Tamandua tetradactyla: one gene and its partners. Each later gene encodes a partner of the first gene's protein in a complex. Links are inferred from orthologs where the notes say so. Each region holds a gene or a part of one and is shown on either strand. Other genes may lie near its edges.

Region 1 (7,746 bases):
CTCCTAGAAGAAAATATAGGGAAACATCTTCAAGACCTAGTAATAAGAGGTAACTTCTTGAACTTTACACTTAAAGCACAAGCTACGAAAGAAAAAATAGGTAAATAAGAACTTCTTAAAATCAAAAGCTTCTGTGCCTTAAAGGAGTTTGTCAAAAGATGGAGAGGCAGCCGAGTTTGTCAAAAAGATGAAGAGGCAGCCAACTCAACAGGAGAAAATATTTGGCAACCATATATCGGATAAAGGTTTGCTATCCTGTGTACATAAAGAAATTATACAACTCAACAACTAAAGAACAATCAATCCAGTTATAAAATGGCCAAAAGATATGAATAGACATTTTTCCAAAGGGCAAAAACAAATGGTCAAAAAGCATATCATCTTCATTAGCTATAATGCAAATGCAAATCAAAACTATACTGAGATATTATTTCATACTTATAAGAATGGCTGCTATTAAACAAACAGGAGAATGTAGAAAAACCAGAACACTTAGGCACTGCTGGTAGAAATGTATAACCAATCGTTCAGCAGCTGTGGTAGACAGTCTGGCAGTTTTTATAAAACTAAATATCAAGTGCCCTATGACCTGGCAACACCAATACTGGGTATATACCCAGAAGAGCTGAGAACAGTGATATGAACAGACATTTGCACCCACTATTCATAACCGCCAAAAGATGGAACAATCCAAATGTCCATTAGCTGAAGAGCAGATAAACAAAATGTGGTATATATACGCGATGGAATACTATATGCAGCGGTAAGATGAAATGACGTCCTGAAGCACTGACAACATGGATGAACCTAGAGGATATAATGCTGAGTGAAATAAGCCAGACATAAAAGGAAAGACAGAGTATGATTTAACTTTTATGACTCTGATAAAGAGAGCAAACTCCAAATCACATAGCCCAGGAAGAAAATCTGTACTCATATGTAGCAATGAACTTGATGTTGCATCTCTACAACTAGAGCACGCAAATGACTTCACAAGCAATGGCTTCTATACATTTCACACTTTTAACACTGACCATTCGTAATAAAGATTCTGTAAAAGAGAAAAAATTTAATAAAAAAAAAAACATAAATGTAATGTGGGATTCTGGATGGGATCCAGGAACAGAAAGGAAATTTGCATAAAGTACAAATTTTAATTTAATAATATATCACTGTTGGTTCACTGACTGCAACAAATGTATCACAGTAATGTCAGACGCTAAACAGGGGAACCCAGGTATATGGGAACTCTGTATTATGTTTGCAATTTTTCTAAAACTGTTCTAAACTTAAAATGTTGATTAAAAACAGAGAAAGAGAGATTTAAGGGACCATTTAACAACCAGAGGAAACTCAAGGATCTTGGACTGGATCCTGGCTTATCCTAACCAACGACAACAACAAAATGTCCCTTTGGGGACTACTGAAGAGATGTGCATACCGGGTAAATATTAGGAATTATTATTAAAAGTTTCTTTTGCCTATGTAAATAAAACTCCTGTCACTTAGAGGACTGTTATTTTTAAATAGAGATATGTTTTTTTTTTAAAGATGTATAATGAAAAAATAATTTTTGTTTGCTCTCAGAATAAATTCCAAGCTCTTTCCACATAGCCTTGACCCAAGGCCCTGTAAGCTCTGGCACTGCCAAACCCTCTGACCTCCTTTTATACCACTCTCCCCTTTACTTGCCACAGCCCTGCCACACTAACCTTCCTCTGGCTCCTTCCTGCTTTCAGGTCTTTGTCCATGCCATGCCTCAGCCTATACGCCCTTCCTCTGATGGCCAAAATGGAAGTAGCCCCCAACTGTTATTGATTTATCTTACCCCTGGCAATTCGGTTCACAGTATCACCTTTTTTGTTTGCTTGTTCACCAATTCTCTCTTTACTGGAATGTAAGCCCCCTGAGGACAAACACATTTTCCCAACTTGTTTGACATCTCCTCTTAGAACAGCACCTTGCTGTCAGGACAGACCCAATAAACATACATTCAATAGGTCGTAAGACCATAACAACTTCAGGAGCTATAAGCTAGAGAGCCCAAGTCATCCTTATGTTTTTTGAAATTAAAACATTAAAGACAGAGTAATCTCAAAATAGCTTCAATCCATTCCCTCATTTGTGATCTCGCCTCTAAGCAGGAGAGAGAGGGTCCTGGGTGTGAAGTTACAGGCTTGTCTCAAACTACCTGTGACCTTGGACAACCGAGGAGGCATAACAGACATCGCAAAGATCTGCCTTTACAGCCGAGGGGCTGCTTAAGACTCCCTTCCGAAGAACTCACTTCTCACTGATCTCACTCCAGCCTCCCAGGCAGTGCAAGGGGAAGGTTGGGCTCGTGGGGGTGGGGGGAGAAGGCGACCCCATCCTTACCGATGGCAAACTCCACCAGGGTCTCATTCTCCTCTGACAGCGAATCAAGGAACAAATCCAGGACCTGCAGCTGCCGCAGATACCCGTAGTTGTTGGGGTCATAGGCGAAGTTGGCGAGGTTGGCCAGGACTTGCTCCTTGGCGTCTGCAACGGGAAAGCGGCGCTGGAGGCAGGTCCCCGGCGGCCGCGGCCGCACCTCCACCCCGGCCCCTGGCTCCCACTCGCGGCTCTCACCCTGGCTCTCCGTCTCCTGGAATTCCGTGACCAACGCCTGCAGGTATCCCAGCCGCCCGACATGAGGGTCTACCTTCGGCTTCTGGGCCATCGTCGCCGCGGCGGAGGGCCCCGGGGCCCGGGCGGGGAGGGCGTGGGAGGCGAAGCCGGGCAGCCAGACGTGGACCTCACCGGACCGACCACCCGTCGGAGAAGCCGGGGCCGGGACGGGAAACGGGTTCTTTTCCTGGGTTCAGGTTGTGCTGTAACTTGAGGCTTAGACTGGGATGTGGGGGTGGGATGGGGTCTCGGGACGCTAAGTCAAAATTGGGGAACTGGAGACCCGGGTGTCCCTGCCACTTAAAGCGGAAGGGGAGGGACCAGCATCCGCATCCCCGACTCCAACGCTCTGCTCTCCGCGGGGTTCCGGCCTCCGGCGGAAGTTGTGCTAGTTCCCACCCCGCAGGGCGGAAGGGGCGGGGAAAGGGGCGTGGCTTCCCTCGCGTTACTCGGGGTGTACTTTGTGGCACCAGTCCGACCGCGAGCAGAGAATGGGCCTCAGGTTGGTGGGAGGGTCGGGGGTGGCGTTAAGGAGCGCCTCTGGGGAATCAGAGGCACCGCTGTGGGGGCTCGTCGAGGCAGAGGCACCTCCAGACCTCCACATACTTGGCGGGGGTCGCAACTTGGCCTCCTCGGCCCAGGGACGCTCCTGCGTAGCTCTTGCGTCAGCTCCCCGTTCCCCGTGTCGGTCCTATGACTTTACAATTGGGGCGGCTTTTCCAAAAAGTTGGGCGAGTCCGACGCCCCCTCCTCCCCACCTCTGGCCATCAATCACGCGGGTTGGAGACTATCCCATGGCTCATTGTTAGCAAGGCAGGCGGGGGCGCCTGGGACAGCATCGGTGAGCCCTAGAAGGAACCTGGGTTTACCCATGTGTCCCACTGGCGGCTTTCTGGGTTGTGGGGTCCTGGGTGCCGAAGTCCTCCGGCCCAGTTCCTTCTCAGGACCTCCCAGAAAGGAGGTATGTAACGGACCTCGTGGGTGCCCGGGACTGGAGCATCAGGGAAAGAGGTAACACCACCACTCCCATTGTGCTTGAAAATGTGGGGGGGAAGTGGGCTTAGGCCGTGAGCTTCTTGAGGGTGAGGACCGTGTGACATCCAGAGGCTGGACAGTGACAACAGTCCAGCCAGCAGCAGCTCCCTTGGGAGCAGGCCCCTACTTTCTGCAGACCTACTAGGTCCCTGTGGTCAGCCCTGTTCTGCACACACCCTCTGGAGCGGTTTTAACAGTAGTCGGAGCTCAGGGTACCCAAACTGTTGGAGAGGGTGGTGGCCCCAGCCCCCTCCCCAGGTCTTTGGCTTCTGTGAGGAGCTGAAGTGGCACAGGGACATGCATCACAGTCCAAAGCTGGGAGACATGTAGCTCTCTGCCTGGATTGAACAGCAAAGGCCTGGAGGCAGGAGTTGCCCCAGGTCCTCTAGACTAGTCCCAGGCTAATCAGCTAAATTTGGGTTCTAGAATTAGATGGGCCACCCCACCATCCCTCAAGTGTTTGGCTTTATTCCCTCCCAAACCCTCAGGGATCCTTCTCCTTGGGAAAGAATTCTTAGTCCTTTGTTTTGTTCTGAAGGCAGCGACCAGGTCTTTAAGGTCTCAATAAAATTTTTTGTTGAAGGGATTCTGCCCAGGGTTTATTGCCACTTTTGCCTGGGGGGAAATGAGGTCAGGGTCAAAGTACTCTATGTTGAATATTCAATTTTTTTTTCCTTAAAATAAATTTGTTTTCAGGAAATGGGCCTATATGGGGAGACACAACATATCAAAGTACTAATCTACCTACCAGCCCCCAACTGCCCTCTTTTCTACTCCTTCAGAGCATGCTCATCCAGGCCAAGCTCCTTTTTAAAGGCCCAGAGATGGGGAACAATTTGCCTAAAGTTACAGCAAGTTGTTTCTGAGTTCAACATCAACTCTGGTCTCCGTCCCAGCCCAGTACTCTTGCCTTGCCCCTGCACTACCACGACTGACTAATAGGGGGCACTCGTGACAGGCTCCTGGGGGAGTCGGGAGGACATCCCCAAGGATGCTTATTCACACCCGCTGGATCAGTGGGGAGGAAGGCTGGGGTCAGGTTATGAAAATGAAATCAATTCTCCTTGGCCTGATAAGGTTTTCTTGTCCGAGCCTGGCTGAGCCTGAATCAACAAGGTTTTGAGAAGCCTTGCAAAGCCCCTGCCAAGTGGAGAGGAGGGAATGTCCTCTAGGCCTGTTCTCTTAAGAGTTCACTGGATTCATAATCTCCAGTGATTCATAATCCGCTGCAGGGAGTGTTTTTGTATGTAATTCAAACAGACCCTGTTTTTCATCCCCCCCCCTAGGTGGGTATCCTGCTGGGACAAGTCTGAGCTGATGACAGCCAGTCCCTGGAGGGCCTTGGGGTGACCTCAGGGAAGGGCACCGGCCAAGTGCAGAGGGAAGCTCTGGTCTCCAGGGCCCAGGAGTGGACTGGCAGCCGGCCCAGCCAACTCCTTACCCTCAGCTGACGCCTTGACATAGCAGGGTGAAGGGGGCTTGGGAGGGCAGGAGAGGGAAGTGCAAGGGCTTCCTTCACAAAAGCAGCCCTATTTTCACAAAGGTCCCTGGACATTAGTTAGCCAGTCTTCTTCTCCCCTGGACAACTGACCGCCTGACTTCCTCCCATACCAGGCCTGATGTTCTATGCCAAGACTACAGGGTGGGGGTGCAAAGGAGGGAAGGAGACCCTAGAGCAGACCCTGCTAAATGAGGAGGAAGTCCCCTTAGGCTTCACCAGGGGCTCCCCTCCACATCTCTGCACAGACACCAGGATGGGGACACCACCCAACGTTTAATCTGTCAAATCCTGTGTCCAGGCCAACTCCTCAGCCTGGCCCTCCAGCCCGCAGGCCACATCACAGTCTCTCATGGGTCCCTTCATCCCAGACTTCCAGTCAGTGTGAGGCAACCTGTGGTGGGGGCAGCCTGGGCCAGCTGTGGCTGCCAAGGGCAGGGGCTGGGTCACTTGGGAAGGAGGACGGCAGGAGGGCCCTGAAAGAGGGATGAGCTCTTTGGAATTGTCTCGAAGACAAAGTGTGATCACGCTGAAGGCATGCAGTTTGGACTGGAAAGTTCATTGTGCTGAGTTGTGGGAGTAGTCATGGGTGGCCAGCTGAGCAGAGTCAGCTATGTCAGACCCAAGCCTTCCTGGGCCCCCGGTTGGTGGAACCCAAGGGAAAAAGTCAGAAGAATCCACTCCTGGATTCTGCTGGTTGGAAATACCTCTGAGCCTTCGGAGGGCAGCATCCAAGGTCCCAGCTCCTGGCCAGGTCTCATTTGTGAAACCTGTTCCAAGCTCCCTGGGGCAGCCCTTGGCCACAGCCTCTGGTGAAGCAACTGACGTGCCATTCCTGGGCTGAGACAGTGGTCACTCACTAACCTCAGGGCTCAGACAGTGGTCACATACATGATCTCGGGGCACGGCCGCTTGCCAGGACCATCTGTGCCCTCCAGGAAAAGTTCCTGCTCCGGGGCAGCCTCCATGATGGCTCCTTCCTTCTCAGCCTGCCTGCCCTGCCTCTCCTTCCTCTGCAGGGCACAGAAGCTGCCGCCCATGAAGAGGGCAGCCGAGATGAGGATGAAGCTCGACATGTAAAAAACATAGCTGAAGTTGTTGTTGGTGGCATCCAGCAGGAATCCTGGGGGACAGAGAGCAAGTCAGGCCACTGCCCAGGGCTCCTGGATACTCCCCTCCCCACCATACTATGCTCACCACAAACAGGGACTTTATTTTTGTTTCTCTTTGTCCACAGTGCCAGGAGGCATAGCTGGCACCTGGAAGGTACTTGATAAAGATCATTGTTGGATGAAAGGAGGGGAGGAAATGCTTTATCTACTTTGGCCTGGGGCAGGGAGAATTCTCAAAAAATTTTGGCCAGAGGGCAACTTAAGGGGTGACTTCTCACCCTTGGTGGCTGGGAACCAAGAAGACTGGACTAGTGGAGACTGGGATGTTTGCACAGCCACCTCCCAGGTTCTGCCCAGACTTCCTCCTGTGTGCTTTGCTTGGAGAACTTGGGGGAAGGCTCTCCCACTGGACTGGAGTCGACCTGCTGGGTCTTACTGTATTAACCGCCCCGACATGCTGTCTGTTGCCTGCATCCTGGCACCAAGCGCTTTACAAACCTTTTCTCATTTACTCTGAATGAAGCTCTCAGCTGCAGCCCACACCTAGGTCCTCTCATGTGGATCCCTATCGCCATGTTCTGTACAAATCACCATCGTAATTACAGACAGGTTCTTTAATTCCTGACCCCTCCTCCAGAAGGGAAGCCCAAGGGTGGAGGGGCCGGGTCTTGGTATTCAGCCACACCCACCTAGGGACTGGCACAGGTGAATTCCTGATAGGTGACAGGCATTCTTTTCAACATTGTGCAGACCACATTGTGGCTCAGAGAAGGAAAATAACTTGCCTAGGTCCCCACAGGCAGGAAGTAGGAGAACCTATGTGAATATGTGACTATAACCTCCAAATATTAGGATGTCAATCGTAGCAAGCACCTACACAGTGCCACTTACTATGTGCCAGGGTCTCTGCTGAGCTCTTTGTAACTCCTAATCCTTACAACAAGCTGATGAGTTTAAGATGCTATTATTACCCCCCACTTTCCTGATAAGGAAACTGAGGCACATAGAGGAAGATGAAGGACCCTGGTAGGTCTGGCACCCACACCCCAAACACTGACTGGGGCAGAGGCTGCAGTGTGGTCCCTTGGGGTGCTGGGAAAGACAGACCCCAAGCTCCTGCCCCTGCAGGTGCCAGAGGAGCCCCCAGTCTGTCCAGGCTGTGCCCTGTCCCCATCCCTTGTCCCACCTCCACCATCAGGGCTACCCTCCCTTCCCAGGGCCTCACCGGCTATCGGCGGGGAGATGAGGATGGAAATGCTCTCCAGGATGGTGAAGAGGCCCAGGGCACTGGAGAACCGGTCCATGGGGACAGTGTCCATGAGGACCTGGAAGATGAGGGCGCCGATGCAGCTCATGGACACGCTGTATACCAGGCAGTAGCCCACCAGCAGCCAGAAGTCGGCCGACACCGTGCACAGCAGGTTGGTGAGCCCGTTGAGCAGGACCGCCAGG
Region 2 (7,682 bases), on another chromosome or scaffold:
AGAGCTGATGTTTCTATATTGGATCATATTAGTTTAAGTCAAATGATCAGGATCTTGTGGGAGACCTGGGTTCGTTTCTGGAGCCTGCACATGCCAAAAAATAGAAAGAAAAAAAAACACTGGATTCTCACTAAGGTACTGGAGTGGGAAATGGGAGGCTAGGGAAAATCTGAAGTATAGAATGGAAGTAAAATAAACAGAACATGGCAACACATTTGACTATAGGTTTACAGAGGGATGGGAGAATGGATATGAGTCAATTAAGGCTTCATGAATGGGTGACTGGTAGGATTGAGTCATTAAATGGTGGAGAAAAGGTACAAATTTGTAAACTATGATGATGAATTCAATCCTGCAAGTATTAAACTACCATATAACAACCAGGTCAATCTTCTCAGTATTGTCTGGGAAAAAATGCTCAACTGGTGCTTATGTAGGAGAGAAATCAAGGCTGGAGATGTAGATTAGATATTCATCTGCATAAGTATGTTACATGAATGAAAAAACTCTCAAAGAAAAAAGTAAAAAACGAGTGAAGAAAAGGTCAGAGTCAGATATGGGGAAACAACTACTTTAAGGGAGAAAGGAGAAATATGAAAACATGGCAAGCATAATGGTAAAGAAGCTTAGGAAGAAGTAAATTCAAAAAGCCTGGCAACATATCAAAGCTATAGAGGAATAGAGGAGGATGGAAAGAAGATCTTTGAACTTGATGACTAAGAGATCACCAGCAAACTTCGAAAAGTTCTTCCAGTAGTGTGCTAAAGTGAAAGTCAGTTTGTAGGGTAAGGTGGTAAGAAGCAATTGTGAAAATTTGGAGGCAACAAAGAAAGTATTTTTTAAAAATTACAGTAAAGGTTGCTTGAGAGTGTGGCTTTATGTACAAGAGAGATCTGAGCTTATTTATAAGGTAAGTGGAATAAACTGATAGACAGGAGATACAAAATAATATAAGAAAGAGGGTATATTTTATTGGAGGAACAAGATGACAGGAGGTTGAAAGGTATTGGACCAAAGTAACAATGAAGAGCCAGGCTTACAGAAGAGCAGAGAAGTAAAAAATAATACTAAAGAGAGAATGACCTTTATGACACACATCTTATTGCAGACCAAACAGGTATTTTATTTTAAGACCACAGCAGATCTTAGAGCCCAAATTATAATGAACCTTGAGAAATTAACTCTCATAATTTATCCAATAGCCTCAATTTCCCTGGGACAAAGCACTTACAGCGTAAGAGGCATTTACATGCAACAAGTGAAACCAGGTAGAATTCTTATTCTCTAAAAAGTTAAAATGTACAAAATTAACACAAATTACATGGAAGGACTAACCTACACATGTAAGAACTTCACAACACAAGATGAAAGACTGTAGGGCAGGTACATAATCTAAAAACGTTTCCAACACGTTCACTCAAAAAACAAACAAAACCAAAAAACTGCTTAAATGCAAGATGGGGAAGACTTAACATGCTTTTTGTGGTAACGGATTGTGGTGACGGACCGTGTACGACTCTGAAAACACAAAAAACATAATCACATATCTTAATTGGGTGAATTTTATAATATGTGATATATATCTCGACAAATTGGTTGTTGTTGCTCCTTTTTTAAGTTTACTGTGAGACAATATTGGTATAAAGTACAGTATCGAGAAAAGAAATGTATTAGTTCTACTCAGCCCCACGCAGAAAAGAGTAGAGTTCAATTCTGAGTCCCACACATTGGGGTGAAAGGAGGGAAGGGTGGTGGTGCATAATGGAAATTACCAATTTTATGTCCACACCCAGGCATTTTTATACCAAGCACTACTACATTATCTCATTTAATTCTCACAAAACTTTATGAATTATGTATTATTCTCATTTTTCTAAAAGAGTTAACTGGAGTCAAGAAATATTAAATAACTCATCCATTCCTATTCTTTTACCTAACATTAAGAACTGGGATTTAAACCCATGGATGTCTGTCTCCAAAGCTTTACAAAGAAAATGGATTATGTTTACTAGACAGTAACCAGAATGATAAGAGACTTGCAACCATGTCACAGGAAGAAAGATAAAGAGACAGATATGTTTAGCCTGAGAAAAGGAAGACTTGAGAATATGGCAGCGGTTTTAAAAAATAAAAAGAACCGTGAAATCAAAAAGCCATGAGATGTTTTCTGGCAAGCTCATTTGGATTAGAATCACTGGGTGGCAATTATAACAGGATAGATTTTCCTAAAAGTGAAAGACGTCTATATATACTGTTTTGAGGAGGGTCCCAAGACCCAGTCTCAATTCCGTAAGTATTCATGCAAGGAGTGTTTAAGACATTAGACGGGATGCTGAGTCGGGGCTTCTAGATAAAATATAGGATGTTCAGTTAAATTTGAATTTCAGATAAACAACGAATAAGGGTTTAATAAAGCACGTCCTAAATTTCGCATGGGACAAAACATTTACAGTAGTACGGGGCACCAAACGTGGCCAATAATACTTACATTATTACTTATACGAAATTCAAATTTAACTGGGCGTCTTGTGTTTTTATTGGCTAAATTTAGTTGTTCTAGGAGCGATTTATAAGATCCATTCCAACTCTGATAGTCTGTGAGGCGAGAAAGCCAGTCAAGAAGCTGGGGTTTGCGGTGAGACCCACAGCTGGGGGGAGGCAACGGAAATGGACAGGGAAGAGCAGAACTGAGACCATTCTGGAGGGAAAATAAATAGGACGATATGGGTCGCTGAAGGAGAGGTAAGAATGGTCAAGGGACAGGGAAGGAAGAAATAAGCTCGAATCAGAAACCTGTGGTAGAAGGAAATACAAAGAAAGGGCACAGGTCTAAAGGAAGTTCAGTTAGGTTCTCCTGGCCTCCATCTTCCGTATACGGGTCCCTTTAACTCACATTTCTCGCACACCATTCTCTTGCCGACGCTCCTCTTAGCGGAAGGAACTGTAGCAACTTGAAAATATAAACACTACAGCCGGGGAAGGATTCCTTTCCGGGTTACGTCAAACCACTTCCGGCCACTAAACCCTACGCTCCCTCCTATGCTATACCTGGGAAATAAAGCGGGAGGAATAAAGGCGACCGAGGGGGCGGGGCTAATTTATTTGCCCGCCTCTGCACTTTTGCGATTGGCTGTGCAACCTTGGGTCGCCGCCCACGCAACTCTGAGCCTGCGCCGAGGGTCAGGACCGAGAGTCTAACCTGATGGTGGGAGGCAGTATCCTCTCCTTGCCTTCCGCGGGCTGGAGAGTTAGGTAAGCCCAGCCGGACGCTTTCCGACACGCTTGCCTCCCGGGGTGCAAACAGCCCGAGCCAACTGCCGAAATGGGCGCGAGCTTCTGTGCACCCCGGCCCTCCCGCGCCCACCCTCCGCTCCAGCGCCACCCCTCGGGCGTGACCCGGGGACATCCCTAATGGACGGATCTTTCGGATCCGACTTTCTATCTCACTACATCAGTTTTCCCTTGTCTCCGTCACCTGTGCTTCTTGATTATTCCTCTCAGTGCTTTTCTCCCGGCTCACCCTCCCGCCACCTGAGGCTTGGGCAGGTCCCGAGCGAGCTGGTTTGGGGTGGGGCTGCAGGTGAAGGTCCGGCGAGTTTCATGTAGGCTCGTCTGGGAGCAGACCCAAGGGGCCTTTTCGCGCTGTAATGATGCCTGTCCATCTGGGCCGGGGCGGTGGCCTCCGGGTGGGGCGCTTGTCAGATGTTCTTACGGGCACGCTGGGTCCTTAGTTTCTCAGGAGGACCCACCCCCTCGTTTAAAATCTAGGAAAACACTTTTTCCACTCTCGTTCATTCACTCAGCAAACATTTTAGTTTGTGTACTGCTCGCTGATTAGATCCAAATCTTCTGACGTTGGGATGCTGAGGATGGCCCAAAATGATGGTGTTCGAAGGGGTACTGTTGAGAGAATATGTTCCTTCTCCGTTCATTAGCTTAGGGTAGAACCTGCGAAAGACCCTTCCCTTGATTCCCGTTGACGTCCGTTCTCTTCCCAGCTCTTGGTGTGATAGAGAGAAAGAGAAGCTAGGTTTTGGAATGACTTAAGCACGGAGCTTGTGACTTTGGGTGTCTCTTAACATAAGTTGGCCTGTTTCCTTATCAACAGTATATTTGCCTTTGAGCATTGTTATGAGGACTATATGAGAGCCTGTGTAAAGCTCTTAGATAAGTCCTCAGGTCACCCTTTTGCTCTCTCACAGTTCTGTCTGTGTGTATATAGGTGTGTCTTGAGTAAATTTTTTTCCTTCCATATACCTTCAACTTGTGATTGGAATCTAGAACCTATAACATCATTCTTTAAATATCCATAAAAGAAACGTTGTCATTTTGGTATTTCTGGAGCTGGGATCTATTAGTTTAGCATAACAGTCTTTGAACTCTCTTGATTGCACTGGCCACCGTTTAAGTATTCTAATGTGTACTTGGTGTCTTTTGGCACTTGCTAGAAGAAATGAAGTACCATCATGTTGGACAAAGGTCCACAGTGGTTAAACAAACAAAAAAAAAATCAGCAACTTGGCCAGAGTGCTTCATGGAGTTTCTAGTATGTATAGGTTTTATTTCTAATACTGGCAGATAATTTAATCCATGCAGTTTTGATCTCAGATTTTGGCAAAAGAACTGAAATGAATTGCTTAATTGGCCCCAGTACATGGCCATTTGCAAACATCAATCACAGATATTTAAGAAATTAGTAAATTCATCCTTTATAGGCTCTTGAGAACTCTTTGGGTAGAAGGGTGGGTACCATATCAAGAAAATCTAAGGTAAAATATAATGTTAAATCTAGTGTATTTACAAACCTTTCTGTATTCTGAAACAAATCCTTTATTGTCCACAGAAAATTTACTTTAGTTCATGGCTTGTTTGTAGGGGGTGGAACAATGGAAAAATGCATTATTGCACATGCTCTTTCATTAATTTAATTTTTTTTCATTAGATAGGCACCCAAGAAACACCATGAAAGAAACTGATATCAAGAGACTTTTGTATGTCCATCTTCTGTGCATATTTTCAGTTATCTTAAGCATCTTCATTCCATCATTTTTCTTGGAGAACTTCTCAGTATTGGAAACACACTTGACATGGTTGTGCATCTGTTCTGCTTTTGTAACTGCCATCAATCTAGTATTATACTTAACAGTAAAACCAAATGCATCTTCCAAAAGAAGTTCATTAACACACAAGGTAAGGCTTGTTTCTTGATAGCTAATTTTTGGATGCGGCTGGTATTTCTGTTAAAGAAAGAATAAAGTATTAGTCCAATTCTCATTGGTTTATTTACAGTGAGTAAAAGGAATATGATGTTCTTTTTTTCAAATGAGTAACTTATATACTGCTAAAAGCAATAAGTAAGAATCATTGTTTTATGTCCCAGTGAAGATAAATACATGTGGCAATTGTTTCTTTAAAATTTATTTCATTACAGTTTATTTTAATATATTTTTCCATTTCCAAAAGATACCTAACGGGCTTTTTCAGGAATTGTAAAAATAAGCTTCCAGGGCATTAAAACCCTCCTGAAGCATAATCTTATCAAAGGGATACATTGTTAATAAATGGACTTAAAATTCTTAAAAGCATATATATATATATATATATATATATATATATATATATATATATATATGTACACTCAACGGAGCTTCAATGGTAGCTCCGTTGTTTTAAACAACCGTCCTTGACTAAGCAGTACAGTTTTCAGATAATCTATTTTCTGGAATCTTGGTTAATTCATTCCTGTGTAACATGTTGACTGTTATTTTAAATTAATAAAGTCCTCAGTTAACGTTATTCAATAGTATGTTTAAGCTCTCTGTTAAATATCTTAAAACACCTTTACTGCCCTATGTTGAAAAAAGCTTAATGTGTATTTCCCCAGGTTAATTTGCAAACATGCAGGTCTTTTTGACTATGGGTTATATAGTAATGTGAATATGATTAGTGTTAGTATTTTGCTTTTTTGATTCAGTTTCCCTAGAAATTCTTTTTTTAATAAAAAAAAGTTGTAGCTCTTTTTATTCTGTAAATATTTTGTGTATTATTTTCTAAGCTACTCTTTATAATGACTGTATTTTGGTTTTCTTATATCCCGGCATTCTGTTACTAATGAATATTTTATAAATGCACACAAACCACAGAAAGAGAACCCTTTTTTGGCTCTAGTGTTGGGTGGGGGATAAATAGGGGGAAGAACTCACTTTCTGGCTTTTTTACAATGCTGTGTTGAATGCTGCATATGTAACTATACACAGAATATGTAATCTAACTCTTCAGTAAACCCCAATCCAAAGAACATTCAAATGTTCCATATATTATGAGAATAATTTATAGATAAAATACTAGAATTTCTATTTTTGGTGTTCTGTTGAGTCTTGAAATTATTCATTTCTTTTTTTAGGTATCCAGGTTTTTGAAATGTTGTTTCTACATTCTAATGTCATGTTTCTCCTTTCATGTAATTTTTGTTCTATATGGAGCACCACTAATAGAGTAAGTTGGAACGCTTTACTGTAGGGAAATTATATTTTAAAACCGTTTTAAAACTTTTATTTTAATGTTAAACAATGTGCTAACTCTGTTGGCAATAGAGAAAAACCATAGTGTGTTTTATTAGTGGATCAAGTCCAGCATTATTGTCCTTCTTTAGCAGTGTTGTCCTTCTTTAAAAAATCAATAATAGCTTATTTCATTCAATTCTTCAGTTACCCAGTTACAGATTGGAAGGTGGTAGTGATGTAATTATAACAATTGAAGTGTGGCCCTTAGAGCCTCTAAGGAGACCTAATATAATGATGTATAAAAGTTAGTTATAATTAAGCATATCACTTCTTGCTAAATATAATACTCAAGTGCCAGAAAAGGATTAGTTTTCTTAAGGAAAGTCAATAGATTCCTAATTTTAAATTAGTGTAAACCAAATTCATGAATATTTCTTACGTAATGTTCATTACAGTTTGTGATTAATGATCATGATGAAATGATCAATGTGATACACACGCGTGTGTTTGTGTGTATATACTTATATATGTATAGTTCTACACAATTATGTATATACTCACTAGCAGGCTATTTCCTGGAAAAGAAACAACAAAACCTCTGTAATGGGGCGTGGTGATTCCTGTCTAATCCATTTTAGAGTAAAGTGAATGTCTAGAGCAGTGGTTCTCAAACTACTGTTCTTGAACCAGCAGCAAAAACATTTTGTAGAACTGCAAATTTTCAGGTTCCACACAGAAACTCTAGAGGTGGGGCTCCCCATTCGTTAGTGTGTCCAGCTCTCTGGGTGATTCTAATGTAAAGTGAAATTGAATTACTTGTCATGTAGTAAATTCCATAGACTGTGGAGGAAGAAACTTAATTATATAGAGATGAAGTTTCTTGCAATAAATGGCCAGTCTCAGTAAGACTATTTAACATGTCTGAAATCTGTCATTAAAGCCAGATATTTGTTAGCTTTTGCTTTCTATGGCTTTGCATTTCAATAATAAAAATAAATTTTGTTTTCTTTTCTAGGTTGGTGTTGGAAACTTTTTTATTTGCAGTTTTATTGTCTACTTTTACTACTGTACCTTGTCTATGTTTGTTAGGACCAAACATCAAAGCATGGCTAAGAGTTTTCAGTAGGAATGGGTAAGTTTTAATTTTATATTGTAGTAATGTTTGAAATAAATTTTTTT
Region 3 (7,985 bases), on another chromosome or scaffold:
ACTATAATTACAGTACATTACAGTATAATTTATAATAGCAAAAAGTTGGGAAAATGCCCAACATTTTTAAAAAAGATAAAGAAATACACCAAAATGCTGAGATTTTCCTTGTGTAGTCAAGTACACTCTTTTCTACTTTATACTTTTTCTTTTTGCCAAATGTTCTATAAGACTATACGTTACCTTCATTATCAGAAAATATTAATTTGAAAGCCACTGTTAGTATCAGTAGCAAAGGCAATCTTCATAGAAAGCAAAGTACATAGTACATAGCCAGAATAGAGAATGAGAATAAGCATACACACTGGCTGATCACCACTCAATTCAAGATGAAAGTCTGATGTACTACCACACAAAGAGGTAGAAATTATAGGCTGCACCTGCCATGAACTTCCCGAAGCCCCAAAGCTGAAGAAAGCAGCCTCAGTCCTAGCCAGGGCTCTCTGCCTATGTAGGCTGCCCAGGCCCCCTGGCATGGTCTTTATCTCATGTGCACTGCCCAATCCTTTCCCATGGCCTTCTGCCCTATATTGCCACCCAATGATCTGGCCAAAGCCTGCTGCCCCATAAGTTGCCCAACTGCTCTGCCATGGACCTCTGCCTAAGGGACAGCCCAACTGTCCTGATACGGCAATTCCTCCACCAGGTTATGCTGCCTGTGTTTGCTTGCTCAGCCCCTTTTGCCAAGGTCCTCCGTCATGTCGTCCAACCTCTCTGCAAAGGCTCTTAGCCCCAGAGGGCTACACAATCCACAGGCCGTGGGTCTCTGCTTCTGTGAGCTGCAAAGGCTCTCTGGCCCTGTGGACTGTCTAACCACTCTCTTTAGCTCTGGGTTTGTGTGTGAGCTGCCCAACCCTTTCATACTCACTGACACTACTAGTGTGAGCTGCACACACCCTCTCCCACAGTTGCTGCTGCTACCATCTCATAGCAAAATGAAGAATATAAGGTTCTCCTATTCATTCTTTCTCTCATCAGCCTGTGGGTAAAGAGATCAGCTTTGTTCCTTAACCCTACACTCGTCTAGAAACAAAGAAAGCAAACCACCATCTAAACCTTTCACATTTTCCCCCAATTCCTCCATGCTTTGCTCCTAATCCTACAATGCCACACGAGTGTGGGCCCGGAAGGGCCCTGTGATCATGGATTATCCCCAATTTACAGGATGCCAAGGAGATGGGTCCAACATGGTATCTTCCTGGCAGTTCCAGTCTATTCCAGTGTAGGCCCAGGCTGAACACACCTCAGTGAAAAAGCGATAGAAATTTACTGTAATTCCCCAAGATAGCCCCCCAAATTATTCAACCACTAACATCATCTACAGGGGAGAATCCTAAAATCAAATGTCCTGGGACTGCTCTAGACTAGAGCAAAAGCCCTAGTGCTCCCCACTAAAATTCAAATAAATGGCTTTTGTGATGCCATAAAATGTATTATGGAAGCAAACTACTCTGTCCACCCAGGAAGCAAAAAATTTAAGGGAACTTACTGTGAGAACACACAGATGATGTCTCCTTCAGTCAGTTCATAAGGAAGTCCTCCTAGAAGAGGAAACCACATTTCAGTTCAACAGACATTTCTCAAATGTGTACTACAGACCCTGCACTAGGTCAGACATTAAGGGTGTAAAGAAGTGCTTTGAAATTTATAGCTTTTTTATATACATGTTATTTTTTACAAAAAAAAAGAAGGAAAAAAAAGTCAATTGTGATGATAAAAAAAAAATATTTAAGCCCTCTAGCCTCCTGTATTCTGGAGCAGCTAGAAGGAAAAATATGAGAGGATCATATGGTAGTCCATGACAAACTCTGGGATCTGTCCTGTAACTACTTGTTGAAGAGTGCTTTGAAAACTATTGCTTTTTTATTTCTTTGCTTTGTATATGTGTTATACTATACAATAAAAAAGTTAAAAATAATAAAAAAAAAAAGGGTGTAAAGAAGAGTGAGCCACAGGCTCTGCCTTCGAAGAACTCACGGTCTGATACAATGACAGAGGTATACTTAAGGTGCAGAAGTAGTACAGAAAATAGAGTGATTAGCTCTGTGTGCAAAGACCAGGGTCATCATTAACCAAGCTAAACTGATCACTCAGTCCTCCTCACACGCAAAATCGTAGACAAAGCAGATAGTTTACAGCACAAAACTCTGCTTCCACAAACATATCTTGGATTCATCTGCTCTTTACCCACAAATTTATAGCTAAAATCTATAATCCAGTCAATGTTAATATTAATCCCACCCACACAGACTAAGGATTAGAAAAACAACCGTCAACCATTTCATAGGAAACAAATTTCACTTCAAATGTTGCTTTCTTTATCTGTGAAATGGGGATATTAGTACTTACCTCATGAACTTGTTATAAGAATTAAATAAAACAATGCACATAGAGTGCTTAGCACAATCCCTGGTGCAATAAATAATCTCTCTGAACAAAGTACAGAATTATCGGTTACAACACAAGTGAATATAAGGGATGGCAATACGGCCATGGACAGAAGGCAGCAGCTAATCAGATGAGTAGAATAAAATCTAAGGAGTGGGGTTAGTAGTAATATAGGATAGTAGCTAAGTTTAAGACTTTTGAGTTTCAGAATTCCATAGTTTCGATTTACTAGCTATGTTGTTTAAAATTTTTCGGTTAACTTCTTTGCGCCTCAGTTTCAACAGTATATGGGGGGGTGGGGGGATCTCAAGAAGTCCCGTACAAGGTTTTTAGCACAGAGAACAGATAACAGGAATAGTAACTCCCGTGAGTATCGAGGAAAAAAAGGTATGGAAAACGGGTTTAAGGGTGGATAGCAGATGGATAAAAGCGGGTGATGGATGTGGAGAGGAGCAGAGCGAAGGCGTTAGGAAACCGGCCAGAAGCTGAGGAACACAGGGGAGAAGGATGTGGCCCGTACCTAGGAAGATCCATGCGCTGTCCTTGTACTCGGAGTGCCAGGACACGTTATCCGCCACCCCAAGCTGGACCTCCCGCTCATTCAGTTCGTTGATTAACTTCACCTTGGTTAAGGCGCTGCGGGGGGGGCGGGGGGGGGGAGTGCGGAAAAGGAGACAAGTAAGTGCGGCCCAGCCTAAGGGAAGGCAAAACTAGGGCACTAGACTCTCCAGTTACCACGCCTCTCCCTCTCCTTGGAACCGCAGACGCTCGACCGCCCCAGCCCTCGAAGGCCACCCACGGAAGTCCGATCCCGCTTCCTCAGAAGGAAGGTACCGCCTTACTTCATCTCCGCGGCTCGGAGCTTACAACCTGGGCGTTAGCGTCCGGGCGAAGCTGCAAGGCGCATGCGCAGTCCCGGCGCCGCAGCCCATTGGAGTCGGCGGAGCGTGCGGCGGAAGAGGGCGCGCCGACGTGCAGCGCCTGCGCACAAGCGTGGAAAAGGTTTCCTTCGCTCGGTGTCCCTGTCTCTTCTAGTAAGAGAAAAGAAAGTTTTTTCTAGTCCCTCCTCCTTCCCTCAGTGAAATGAGACAAGGGTGTGAGTCTGGTCTATTACAGGGTCCCCAGCTCCTGGATCATACCTCGCACTGGTTGGGTTGGTCTTAAATGTTTACTGAATGAAGAAGATGCCTGATGTGGCGACTTTTGTCCCACTCCAGGTTCGCCTTCCGAGGTCCCGCTCGGGTCCTCACTCCCAGGAGTCACACCCACATACTCATCATGTTTAGAAGTTATGGCACAAAAATGTAGGATATATGTGAGTGAGTAAATCTTTTGTCGTCCCTCAAATCCCAATACATAAGCAACCGACTGTGCTAAATTGAATATCCCAAATTTGTGAGAGCTGCTACGCTCATCCTTTTCCATGGCCTCTTCTACTTAAGCCAAATTAATAGCTAACATTTGAGCAGATAATGTGATAACCAATGCCAGGTTATGTGCTAAGCAATTAACATGTATTGTCTGTCAATTCTCACAACAACCCCATGAAGTAGATACAATTACCATCTCCATTTTATAGATGAAGAAACCGAGGTTCAAAGGAATTAGCTTGAAAGAGACTCCGACTCTGCCCATCCGGTCAGGTTGACTTAATCAGTCCTTGCCTATCACCTTTATCTGTCCTGTACAACTAGAACCTGTAGCTAGGAGTTATGAGGCTAGCCCTATTGCCCCCAAGGAGCTAATAATGTAATTGAGGTGATAAGATATATTTGCCTAATAGAGGTCATTCCAGAAATATCTAGGACCCAGTAGAAGGGATGGTGGTATATAAACCATGAAGGTTTGAATCCATCTTGCATGTCTCCAAATCAGTGACTGGTCTTGAACCATGATGTTTTAAAAGTGAAGATCCAGAGCTATGTAGTTTTCTGTGTAAGCCTAGCTCTGAGCCACAGAAATTAGGCCCTTTATAAAAACATTTTATCGATGATGATGATTTTGAGAACTCTACCCTCAAGTGGTTCACCATGTACACATTTACTGCCAAGCAACAGAACAGAGGCTGCCTACTTATGATAGTGTCTACTCATTCATTCTGTGTCTATCTCCACTCAGCTATTCATTAACTTTGTAGGATTACCTTGGCAATGAAAACTAAACAATGACAGATTGCATGTGGGTTTTATCTGCTCCTGGAAATCTCAGGTTGCTTAGTTGTAGTGTTGAAGTAGCCGCTGCAAAGTGGTAAGCTAGCATGCAGCATTATCTGGTTGGCTTCTTAAAGTAACTATGAATTGAGAATGCTGGGGGTACACCTGGGGCTCACTCATCCACATTTAAAAAGAAGCTGGAACCCAAGAGTAGGGTTGAGACCAACCAAAGGGAAGAACAATTAAGATTGAGGAGAACATAAGAAGACTGTTGCTCTTGAGGTGGTGGATTCAGCAGTGTGTTCTGAAGCTGGGAGAGCTGATAACCATCCTGGTTTGCCCAGGAGTGAGGACTTTCAGTGGTAAAATTTGAAAATCCAGAGCACATTGGGAGGGTTGATCACCCGAGGAGAGCCTGAAATAGGTAAAAAAGCCGTGTTAGATTCTCCATGGATATGCTTCCAGTTAGTAGAAAATATTGTAAAATAATGCCTGGAGATTTCCATAAGTCAGAGATAAAAGGGGGCAGAGGTCCAGAGGAGGACACAAGGAGGACCAGGGTTTGCCATCCAAGGTTGCGATTGGTGATCTCCACCAATAACATTCATGTAACACCTATTGTATGCAGAGCTCAGATCTAGGTTTGGCAGGCAATGCTAAGAAAGCAAAAGGCAGGACTAAACAAATGCAAGGAAGGACTAAACAATTTGGCTAGCCAAAGTTATCTCTCCACTTCCCCAAATCACACCACACTCAGAAGCAGCTTTTCCTCCTGACTTCCATAGTTTGGGCAACACTAACATCATTTTTATCAAAACCATGGGTGTCACGTTTCAGCATTCACTTTTTCTCACCCCGAGAAAACCATCCAATTATTCACCAAGTCCTAAAAATTGTACCACTGCAGTATCTATAAAATGCATCATTTCCAGTTATCATCTTACTCGAAGTCATTATCACATACCTCCTAGCTCTTTATTTTTAGCTATCAAAATCTGCATTTTACTAAAAATAATATCTTAAAAAATGTTTACTTATACACTAATAAAGTATCAGTGTCTGAGAGAGTTCAAATAAAGTTAAGAGGCTACTCTGGAAGTTAGACATTGTTACCTATTATTTAGACCTTGCTACCTATCATAACTTCCCAACCAAAACCATTCCCAGCCAATCCTAAAGAACACCTAGGGCAATATATAAGATTCTACAAAGGTTGCATGCACTAGGGTAACTTTCCAGAACCCTACAACCTCCAGATTGGTCCCTGGACAAGATAAGTCCTGAAACCTAGAGGGCCCAGCCTCTCCAGAACAACAGCTAGTTCCATCTCCCTACCCCATATTATTGACAGCCCCTTCCAACATGAAAAAGTTAGAATAGGCAAAGCCCAAATACCCCTAAAGAGTGGGATAGAAAGATCAAAGGTGATAGTGGAGAAGGTAGGGTTTAACAAACAAATTTGATCGCTGAATCATTCTATTGATATTTCCTTTAGTCTCCAATATCTTAGAGCAGCAAAAAATAAAAACCTAAAATTGTGGAATTGTAACCCATACCAAACTCTGAAATGTGTTCTACATCTAATTGTTGTGTTGTGCTTTGAAATTTATTGCTTTTTTGTATATAAGTTATTTTTTACAAAAAACAAGTCAATTGTGATGATAAAAAAAAATATGTATTCCTTCTAGCCTCCTATATTCTGGAGCAGCTAAAAAGAAAAATCTGAGAGGATGGCATGATAGCCCATGACAAACTCTTGGATCTGTCCTCTAACTACCTGTTGAAAAGTGCTTTGAAAACTATTGCTTTTTTTCTTTTTTTGCTTTGTATATATGTCGTATTATACAATAAAAAAAGTTTAAAAAATGTTTTTCTCATACAATATATGCAATACATGCTGTTTTCCATCCATTTGAGTTCTTCAGCTGGCATCAAACTCTTAGTCTCTGCCATCTCTGAACAGAGGCAGTTGCAGTCTCTGAAATCTCAAAGATCTTCACAGTCTCATCCCAGTCCTGGTAAATCAAAGCTATAATTCCTTGATTCCTAATCTGGGTGTTTTGGTCAATTCCCTCACTTTCTTCATTAATATTAACAGGCTCTATTATTGGGGCAGTCAGTCTTGGTTAAGTCTTATCTTGCAAAACCATCCCTTAGAATGAAAGCAATATGAAAGATGTTTTCTGCTGTACAGGAAATGAATGTGGATCAACCACAAAGTCAAAGAATGCCATAGTTGTATCAGGATCTTCTCAAAAATAGGTTTGCAAAAATCCCAAGATTCTTTCCACTTCTTTATTCTATGCTTCTTGATGAGATTGGTGTATCAGGATCTTCTCGAAAATAGGTTTGCAACAATCTCAAGATTCTTTCCACTTCTTTTTCTGTTGCTTCTTGATGAGATTTTTCCATTCTTTTTAACTGGGCTGGCAATGCTCTCTTTCTCTTCTATCATGCAAACTTTCTTTGGATAATAGATGTTTGCCTTTGGTACAGGTAGCTCTCCTTGTTTTGAACCCAACAGAAAGTGGAATATACAGGTTTTATTAAAGGTGTTTTCTGCTGTTTTGCCTGATATTTTCTAGGAGTCATAGACTATGAGTTCAAAATCAGAACTATCTTCATCACGGATGAGTTCTTCAGCTTCTAGCAGATTTACACCCATTTGTGCCAATGGAGTTCAGCATATCTTAACATATCAAAGGAATTGAGATCAGAGCGCAGCTACGTTGCTTTCTCTTTTCCCAAATCTGAAGCCAAAAGAAGAAGCATCTGGAACTGCTTCTCTTGCACAGGATACTCCATTAAACAGAGTGTTGGCCTCTTCAAGGACCTCTGTTAGTTTGTCACTGGCATTTTTTTTTTTTTTGGATGGAGTTGATGAGCATCTGGTACTGATAGCAGATCTGGCAGCACAGGCCATGGTCAGTCTGTACCTCCAAGCTGGCTGGGTCCACCCTTTCATCCCCCAAATCCAACAGTTCTGCTTTCTCCAAACTCAGGCACTCCTGGGCCTTCCTGCGCTCCAGCACCACACTACAGCAGGACCTGGTAACAGCAACAAGCAGCAAGTAGCTGTAGGAGTGGCTGCAATCCCTGTGCAGGTCCAGCCCAGTCCTTGGCCCCTCCGAGCTCTTTAAATACTCTTATACTCCCCCCAGCTCCTATTCTCCAGTCCTTTCTCTCTCTGCTCCCACGCCAGGCTTCACATCTATAGATCTACTCAAGGAGTGCCTTTCATTTCTCAAGTTAGACACTGTTGGTTTTCAGAAAGAAAATTCTAAAAGCAAAAGGAACTCTTGATGCAGAGCCCCCCTCAGCCCCACTCCTCAGCATCCTTGGCAGGTCCAAGGATCCAGATATAAACATGTTACAAGCCCCCATCCAATCAGGAAACAACAGAACCCTCCCCTCCTGGCATCACTGTCCCTTTAAAATCCAGCT
Region 4 (8,038 bases), on another chromosome or scaffold:
AAATGAATAAGCTGGACTTAAAAATTAAAAACTTTTACTATAAAAAAATCCTAGCAAGTAAATGAAAACACAAGCTAAAGACTGGGAGAAAATACATGCAAACCAAATTCCTAACAAAGGGCTAGTATCTAGACTATACAAAAATCTCTTATAACAGTAAAAAGACAAACAGTTTAATTAGAAAATGGGCAAAAGCCATGAAGAAAAATAACCCAGATGTTCTTTAATAGGTGAATGGTTAAACTGTGGTAAATCCACACCATGGAATATTAGCAAGAAAAAGGAATGAACTATTGCTAGATGAATAGATCTCCAAAAATTCTTCTGAGTGGCAACAGCTAACCCCAAAAGGTTACATACTGTGTGATTCCATTTATGTAACATTCTTGAAATGATAAAATTACAGAAATGGAGGAAAAATCAGTAGATGTCAGCGATAGCAGTTGCCAAGGGTTAAGAAGGGGTAAGGGTGGGAGGAAAGTGTGTGTGTTTATAAGAGGTATGTGTGTGCGTGCATTTATATTTGTATAAAAATATATAAAAGAGATTCTGTGGTGATGGAAATGCTGCTTTATGACTCTATCAATGTCAATATTCTGATTGTGATACTATACTATATTTCTGCAAGATATACTACGGGGGAAACCAGGTAAAGGAATAATTCCCCGTTTTATTTCTTACAACTTCATACGAATCAACAAATATCTCAAAATAAACTTAATTTTAAAAAAAAGCAAAGCCCTTTTCTGGTACAGATGAAAACACCTTCTTTATCAATGATAGGAAAAAGCTATACCTTTGGACCTAAAGTCAAAGCACGCACTTCAACTTACCTGCTTCACTTTGACTGTGGAATGGTGAGGACTTCGGCTTCTCTTATTCCGAGGAGACTTGCCTCTTCTCCCTGAGGACTTGCTCTTCTTTTTGGCTGGGGACCTTTTCAGAGCATGGTACATACAAGATTTTATCTCAACGTCCCTTCCACCATGTAAATCAACTTCAAGTATCAGGCTTATCTACTAACAGAAACACACCTGTGAAGGTCTCTGCTAATCACAGAAAAGGAGTCAGGAGTCTCACTTTCCTATCCCTAAGGTCTTCCTTGAGTTCCAGACCCACCTATATAATTGCCTACCAGGACTTTTCCCTTAGAAAATATAACATTAAATTCCACTTCTGGTTCTTTGCACTGTTGTTTCCCCTGCCTGTTATCTTAACAAGGCTCGATCATTCTCATCATTCAGGCCCCCCGTTCAGAGAGGCCTCCTTCTGCCCTCCAATTCCTCACTATCACATTACTATTTGAACTTATCCTTAATATTTGTTACTAATTAAAACTATTTCATTTATTTGCTTTTTGTTTATGCCAAGGATAGAGAACATCTATTCCATCAAAGATAAAGACTGTCTTATTCATCCTTGAGGCCTCGTACTTGGTATAAGTCTAGGTGCTCAATAAAAATATATGTTGAATGAGTGAATAAATCATTGAGTCTCACAAATCTTTTTTTTTTTCTTCAGAGTTTCCATCAGGTAGATCTCCTGGGCCCTCAATGTGGGAACCTTTTGGCGCAAAGAATTGGAAGAACACCCGCCCTGGCTTGACGGGCAGACAGGGAAAACCTCTCAATTTAATAGATCTTTCAAGTTTAGAAACTATTAATGCTATCTTCTGGACCATACTCTGCTGGGTGCTGGAAACATCAAGATGAAGAGATGGAATCCTGCGCATTAGGCGCTAAAGGCCCAGCTATAAATCAGGTGGCAGATGCAGGCGTAAACGTTTAACTCAAGGCTGACTGAGTCACTTTCTTCGCCTCCAGGATTATGTCCAAGCTGCCGAGCCCAGCATTCGTTATTTCTGATGCCAGCCCTGCCCTCTCTTCTCAACGAAACCAACCCAAGATCCATCTCGGGCCTCTCTCCACTTACCGGCTGCCTCCTCGGACTCGGTTTCCGTGGTGACCCGGGCGACTCGGCTCGCCGGCAGGCAGGGACGGGCTTCCGCCAGACGACTCGGGTCGGCGGTGAGCTGGAGGCGCTGCTTCCGGGCTGAGGCGCTCCTGCTTCACCACCACCGCTGCCGCCGCCACCACCACCACATCTCCATCCCGGTGCCTTCGCCGGCTGCCCCGCTCCCGCTCATTCTTTACCTCCTTCATTCCGCGACCTACGCTGAGGGAAAGAAGAGATCGCTGGAGCTCGGCTTGATGAAGGAAATGACGGATTTGGCCCCTGGCTTTCCCCTTCCGGGGTGAGCGCTCTCCCAGAAACCCTAGCGGCGGAGACTCCAAACACGTGACCACGACCCCGTAGTGGGCGGGGCCGTAGTGCACTAGTTCCGGAGGCGGGAATTTCAAGTTTCAAAAGCAGCTTGGAAAGGGAACGGGATCCGGGCTGTAGGTCAGCGAGGACGCGTCCCCTGCTCCCACACAGGGACTGTCCTGGGAGGCCCCGGGAGAGGCGTGGCTGCCCTCCCTGAGAACTGTGCTCACCGCCCATTGAGGGGGCAGGGGCAGGCTTTAACATATCTGTATATATTTTTTTAACTGGGAAAGGAGATACTTTTGGAAAAACTGCAATTAAACCACATTATCAGGGGAAAAAAGCAACTTGGAAAAAGCTACATACTCTCAAGGGCTTGTCACGTCATTAGTAATTACAAAACACTGAAACAACTTAAATGCCTAGCAGTAGGTAATTGCCTAGCCCATTGATGGAATGTTATGTCGCCAAGGCAATGCTCTTTACAAACTATGGCGAATGGAAAAAGCGCTGACTTAAACAGAAAAAGTACAATACAAAATTGGGTCCAAATTCTGATTTCATTTACGTTCAGAAACACATGAAGAAAAGGAAAGGAGGAAATGCAATCATAGATGGTGGATTTTGGAAAATCAATAATGCTTTTTTCCTATTTTCTGAACTCTGTTATGTTGTAATTTCTCCATTTGATAAAAAAAATACTTTTTTAAAAAATTAGAAGTTTGGGAACTCCACATACCTTCCAACGGGAACCTTCCTCAATCAATCCTTCACTGGGAGATAACTCCCATTTTACAGGTGGCCTGATCCCTCATTCAAACGCAGTTTAACGGAGTTTAGAGACTCGAACTCAAGCTTATCCTGCTTCCAAAAGCCCAGGGGCAAGCGGGCGGGCTGGCGGGCAAGAAGTCGGGAAAGCTTAGCTGAAGGAGAACTTTCCGCAAACACAGGGCAAGAGAATGAGATTCGCTCGCCTCTGGCCCCGCCCCACACCGAAGCCCCGCCCAGGCAATGAGGCTTGGAAAGGGGGTTTCCATGGTTACGGCAAACAGGCCTAGACTAGAGGGGTGGCTGCTGGGTTACTACCCCTTGTGTCGCCATGATTCCTCCCGCAGACTCACTGCTCAAGTACGATACCCCGGTGCTAGTGAGCCGGAATACGGAGAAACGGAGCCCCAAAGTAAGGACGGCTCTCGGGGGTCCGGGGAGCCGGGACGTTCCGATGGAGGAAGACACATCTCGTTGAGGGTCTGGAAAACCGAGGGAGAGAGGCTGCAGGGGAAGGAGGGTGGAAAAGCAGCACAAGAAGGCCAGATATTGGATGTGCCTCCGGAAAGCAGATTTAGGATCAGACTTAATCTTTTTTTTTTGGTAGCCGCGTTCAATAATAAATCAGGTAGTGATTTCTCCATTGCTCGAGATGTGAAAGCAAAGCCCCGAGCACCCTTGCCAAAAATGGTTGGAGTGGGACCAGAGGCTCTTGATGGCCTCCTTTGACTTTGAGTCAATTTCTGCTGAGAAGACAGAAGGTAAACGTGAGCCAGGAATAGGGGAGGGATGTGCAGGAGACAGGAGGCCATCCAGGGGGCCAGTATGTGTGGAGCTGAGTGCCTCTTACCCGAGCCTGTCTATCTTTTCAGGCTCGGCCACTGAAAGTCAGCCCCCAGCAGCCTGGACCCTCGGGTCCAGTCCCACAGCCACCAAAGACCAAACTTCCCTCAACTTCCTCTGTCCCAGACCCTACAAAGCAGGCAGAAGAAATCTTGAATGCCATTCTGCCGCCAAGGTAAAAAAGCAGGAGCAGTACCTGGGAGAAAGCCCAGGCTTTTGCATCCCAGGACTTGGGAATATGGAAAAGACCCCTGCCTCTATTCCTAGCTTGAGTTTCCCCCCAGTATCCTAGAATTGCTAGAGTTTGCAGATACCTGATTCCTGGGAGGATGGGGAGGAGATGGCTTCTCTATCTACTCTCATTTCCTGAATGCTCTCATCCAATCTCATGGCTTTAAATACTATCCATATGCCAATGACTCCCAAACGCTTATTTCCAGCCCTTTCAGCTTCTTTAAACTCCAGACCCATATATTCTACTTCCAAAGATGTCTAATATGCATCTCGAACTCAAAATATCCAAACTAAGTCACGTTTTCTTCTTCCCCCAACCTGCTCATACTGTCTTCATCTTCTCAGTAAGTGGTAGCTGTCTTTTACTAGGTGCTCAGGCCATCTTTCATTGCCTTTAGTCTCTCATATCACATGTCTGATCCTTCATCAAACCCTGTTGGCTCTACCTTCAAATTATGTCCCAAATCTGATCCCTTTTCACCACCCCTGCCTCCAGCATCTCGTTCCAAGTCATTCTTTAGCATTGGCACTTCTGCTGCGGCCTCAAAGTTAGAAACCACTTTTACTCTTTGTCCCTACAATCTGTTCCCAACACAGCCCCTAAACCATAAATCAGGTCATGCCAGTCTTTTCCCAGAAGTTTCTAATGGCCTCCCATCTCGTGCCTGCTACAATCTGAAACCCTTACCATGGCCTGAAAGGCCTGGCATGATCTGTCTGGTCTACACCATGTCCATTGTCTTATCTGCTGTTACTCTCCTTATTTGCTGTGCCAAAGCCACATAGCCTCCACTTGCTATTTCTAAAACACCACAGTCTCTCTCCCACATCAAGGCCTTGGCAGTTGCTGTTCCTACTACTGAAGATGTTCTTCTCCCAACATCCCATTTTTTCACCCTGGTCTTGCTCAGATGTCATTTCCTCAAGGAATGTTTCCTTGAGCATTTTATAAGAGAGCACCCACTCTCCAACATGATCCCTTTACTCCACCTAATTCTTCTGCAACATTTATCACCACCAGACATAACTATTGGTTCATGGTCTGTGCCTCCTTTTCCCACTACTCGCATATAAACTCCTCAAGATCAGAGGCTTTGCTCTCTCCCCTGTGCATTCCAAAATATTTGTTGAAGGAAAGAACAAACGGGGTGCTCATCACACCAGAAGGCAAGTCATGTCAAATCGTAAGAATCATTTCCTTGAAGGTGTTTCCTCCAAAAATACTTATCTTTGGCTTGAAAGAGATGGAACCTCAGCAAATCGCATATAGATAAAGCATCTCTGGATTGTTTTAGAAGTTTCAGGAAAAGTTTGACACTTACGGAAGTTAGGTTTACAAGGTACTTGCCTGGTCAGGTGTCCACATGCTCTCAGAGCTTTTCCATTATCGCTAAGAATTGAGAGAGGAAGGTATAAAGTTGAGCCCCAGCAATTAAATGCTTCCACTCAAAAGGAACATGTGGCACTTCTGTTTCACATTGGGCTGCCAAATCAAATCACATAGCCCTGTCTCAAGGAGGAAGTAGACTTTGGGCCTGGAAAAAGAGGAGAACTGGATATCAGTGAACACCAATATTATGTCCATAGACGAAAGAAGCAGAGCTGGACTCCTGATATCTTTGAATTCAAAATCCATATACCTTTCCACCATGATAGACTATCTCCCGTGAGGCATATCTGAAAGCCTACATGAACCCTTTTGAGACATACAGATTTAGGATCCCCACAGTGGGCTGCTGGCATTGCAGGTGAAGTGTTCTAGTTTGGGAATTTGAATGTCCTATTTCCTCTCTCAGTTCAGCACACTAGTTACTGATTATTTACCATAAGCCAGACATAATGTCTGTATCTGAGGATACAGAGATGAAATTCTAATTTAAACAAAAACCTACAGTCAAGGAGCTTAGAGTTTAAAAGGACACACAAAGAAGTAAAGGTCTGTTTTAGTTGGCATTGCTCCTATAACAAAATACCGCAAACTGTTTGGCTTAAACAACAGGACACTACTGGCTCACAGTGGAGAGACTAGAAGGCCAAAATTAAGGTATTATCAGGACTTGCCTTCTCCAAAGTCTATAGCATTCTGGCGCTGGCTCACTAGCCAGCAGTCATTCTCTGCCTCTATTACATGCCGATCTGTCTCTTTCTGTCTTCTCCTATGGCTTGTACTTGTGTGTCCAAATTTCCTTTTTATAAGGACTACAGTCATACTAGATTTAGGCCCACTCTGGTTCAATTTGACCACATCTAAATAGGATCTTTGAAGATCATGTTTGCAAACGAGTCCATGCCAACAGGACTAGGAGTTGCAACTTGAACATGACTTTGTGGGGACATGATTGAATCCATCACAGCGTCCTATGGGAGAGCTTGACAGGAGTCTAATGGAACCATCCATTAGTCTGTTATGACACAGAGAGTTCATCTACTCCGCTTGCTGAGGGATCTTTCCTAGGAGCTGATTTTCGAAGTAGGGAAAGGAGTTTATCAGGCAAATGAGATGGGGAGAGCGCTCCAGGTAGGGGAACCAGCACATGCAAGGCAAATAGGGAGAATGAGGGGCGTGACCACATGGAGACTGAGTAGACAAGCATGGACTTGGATTGTGAAGGGTGTCTGTAGTCCAGAGTTTCTCAAACTGGACCACAACCCATTTATTCAATGAAATTAAGGTAGAGGCTAGTCCCAGCATTTAAAAACTGGAACAGGAAACGATAGGATAGAATAGAACAGAAAATAACAGATTACATCTCATGTCATCAGGGTAAATTTCATTTCATGAAACCTGTATCCGTTATGTGTGTGTGTGCATCTCTGTGGACGTGCACTTGTATGTATATGGAATCATGATGTTAACATCCATTTTTACGTTGAGTGCAGTCATAAGTGTGAGAGCTGCTGCTGTGGCAATAGGGAACCCCTGAAGAGATTTTTATCAAGGCAGAGTCACCATCAACTTTGTGCTTTAGAAAAGTCACTGTTGTGTGGTGTTGAGCGGCTGGAGACAAGAATGCCAGTTGAGTTCAGGGGGAAGGTGACAAGGCTTTGGCCAATATTGATGCAAGAGCCACCTAAATTTGGAAAGCTCAGTTGGCCCATGCTCGTGAGAGCTTCTCTGGCTCATCAGATGTCAGCAAGGTGTCCAGGCCACTACTGACCAGTCTTAGCTTCCCAATGAGACTGATCTCCAGGCAGCCAAGGGCACCCCCAGAATCAAGCCAGCGTAAGTGGGAACTAACAGGGTGGGGTAGTCAAGCCATCTGAACCAACTGAACCAGATCTTCAAAAGCTATGCCTTCTCAACTATTTTTAATGTAATGCAGTTTGTATGTAATGTAATGTAATGTAATGTAATGTAATACAGTTTTGAAGGCTGTGATGAGAAGGGAGACAGTAAAAAAGACCATGACCTCTTCACAGGTGGAGGTCAAAGGAAGGGAGCAAATGTTTCAGTTGCTTTCCTCCCATCAATGGTATAGAAGTCCTCTCCCCAATGACCTCTCCCCTCAGGCTGCTTCCTTGCGATTCCAGTACCTGGCCTTGCCAGGTTCATTATGGGGGGCCTGTGCAGGCACACACCTCCTAAGTACTCACCTACGCCTCCTGTTCCAACTCAACTCTTGAAGGTCTTGAGTCAATGCAGCCCCAAGCTCCAAACACACTAGGTACAGAGTCGGACATGAGTTTCATTAGGACTTGCAAACAGGAGCGGGTCTCCAGTGGTGGCCATATGGTAAAAATGAAAGTAGCACACTGCAAGGGTGGAAATGCAAGGAGCAGCTTATAAGGGTTTAGGACAAGGGCATTTCACAGAGTACGTGAATTGAGTTTCACATGACACAGGGATCTGGAGATTTGTTATCAACATATCTGTCAGGGAGAGGAGTTTTAATGTTTTACGGGATAAGTGGTCTACAATACCATCTGT

What was found.
Region 2: ARMC7 (region 1) and CRIPT share a complex: the UniProt entries of both Homo sapiens proteins name them as parts of the minor spliceosome. The link is inferred for Tamandua tetradactyla from reciprocal best matches to the Homo sapiens genes ARMC7 and CRIPT.
Region 3: ARMC7 (region 1) and RBMX2 share a complex: the UniProt entries of both Homo sapiens proteins name them as parts of the minor spliceosome. The link is inferred for Tamandua tetradactyla from reciprocal best matches to the Homo sapiens genes ARMC7 and RBMX2.
Region 4: ARMC7 (region 1) and SNIP1 share a complex: the UniProt entries of both Homo sapiens proteins name them as parts of the minor spliceosome. The link is inferred for Tamandua tetradactyla from reciprocal best matches to the Homo sapiens genes ARMC7 and SNIP1.

Annotation. Positions count from the first base shown.
Region 1 is NC_135332.1:15,527,439-15,535,184, reverse strand, and holds the start of ARMC7 (armadillo repeat-containing protein 7), read right to left. Parts: upstream 3,004-7,746; 5' UTR 2,702-3,003; coding exon 2,611-2,701; intron 2,521-2,610; coding exon 2,377-2,520; intron 1-2,376. Other genes in the region: SLC16A5 (monocarboxylate transporter 6), read right to left, coding at 6,055-6,305, 7,520-7,746. UniProt on the Homo sapiens protein: As a component of the minor spliceosome, involved in the splicing of U12-type introns in pre-mRNAs.
Region 2 is NC_135343.1:18,610,439-18,618,120, reverse strand, and holds the start of CRIPT (cysteine-rich PDZ-binding protein), read right to left. Parts: upstream 3,031-7,682; 5' UTR 2,910-3,030; coding exon 2,894-2,909; intron 1-2,893. Other genes in the region: PIGF (GPI ethanolamine phosphate transferase, stabilizing subunit), read left to right, coding at 3,203-3,252, 4,947-5,190, 6,404-6,495, 7,519-7,635. UniProt on the Homo sapiens protein: As a component of the minor spliceosome, involved in the splicing of U12-type introns in pre-mRNAs. Involved in the cytoskeletal anchoring of DLG4 in excitatory synapses.
Region 3 is NC_135353.1:33,108,964-33,116,948, forward strand, and holds the start of RBMX2 (RNA-binding motif protein, X-linked 2), read right to left. Parts: upstream 3,309-7,985; 5' UTR 3,236-3,308; coding exon 3,231-3,235; intron 3,025-3,230; coding exon 2,909-3,024; intron 1,542-2,908; coding exon 1,490-1,541; intron 1-1,489. UniProt on the Homo sapiens protein: Involved in pre-mRNA splicing as component of the activated spliceosome. As a component of the minor spliceosome, involved in the splicing of U12-type introns in pre-mRNAs.
Region 4 is NC_135328.1:187,752,418-187,760,455, reverse strand, and holds the start of SNIP1 (smad nuclear-interacting protein 1), read right to left. Parts: upstream 3,263-8,038; 5' UTR 3,005-3,262; intron 2,253-3,004; exon of another isoform or gene 2,176-2,252; 5' UTR 2,163-2,175; coding exon 1,933-2,162; intron 937-1,932; coding exon 834-936; intron 1-833. Other genes in the region: DNALI1 (axonemal dynein light intermediate polypeptide 1), read left to right, coding at 3,365-3,445, 3,906-4,051. UniProt on the Homo sapiens protein: Required for pre-mRNA splicing as component of the spliceosome. As a component of the minor spliceosome, involved in the splicing of U12-type introns in pre-mRNAs. Down-regulates NF-kappa-B signaling by competing with RELA for CREBBP/EP300 binding.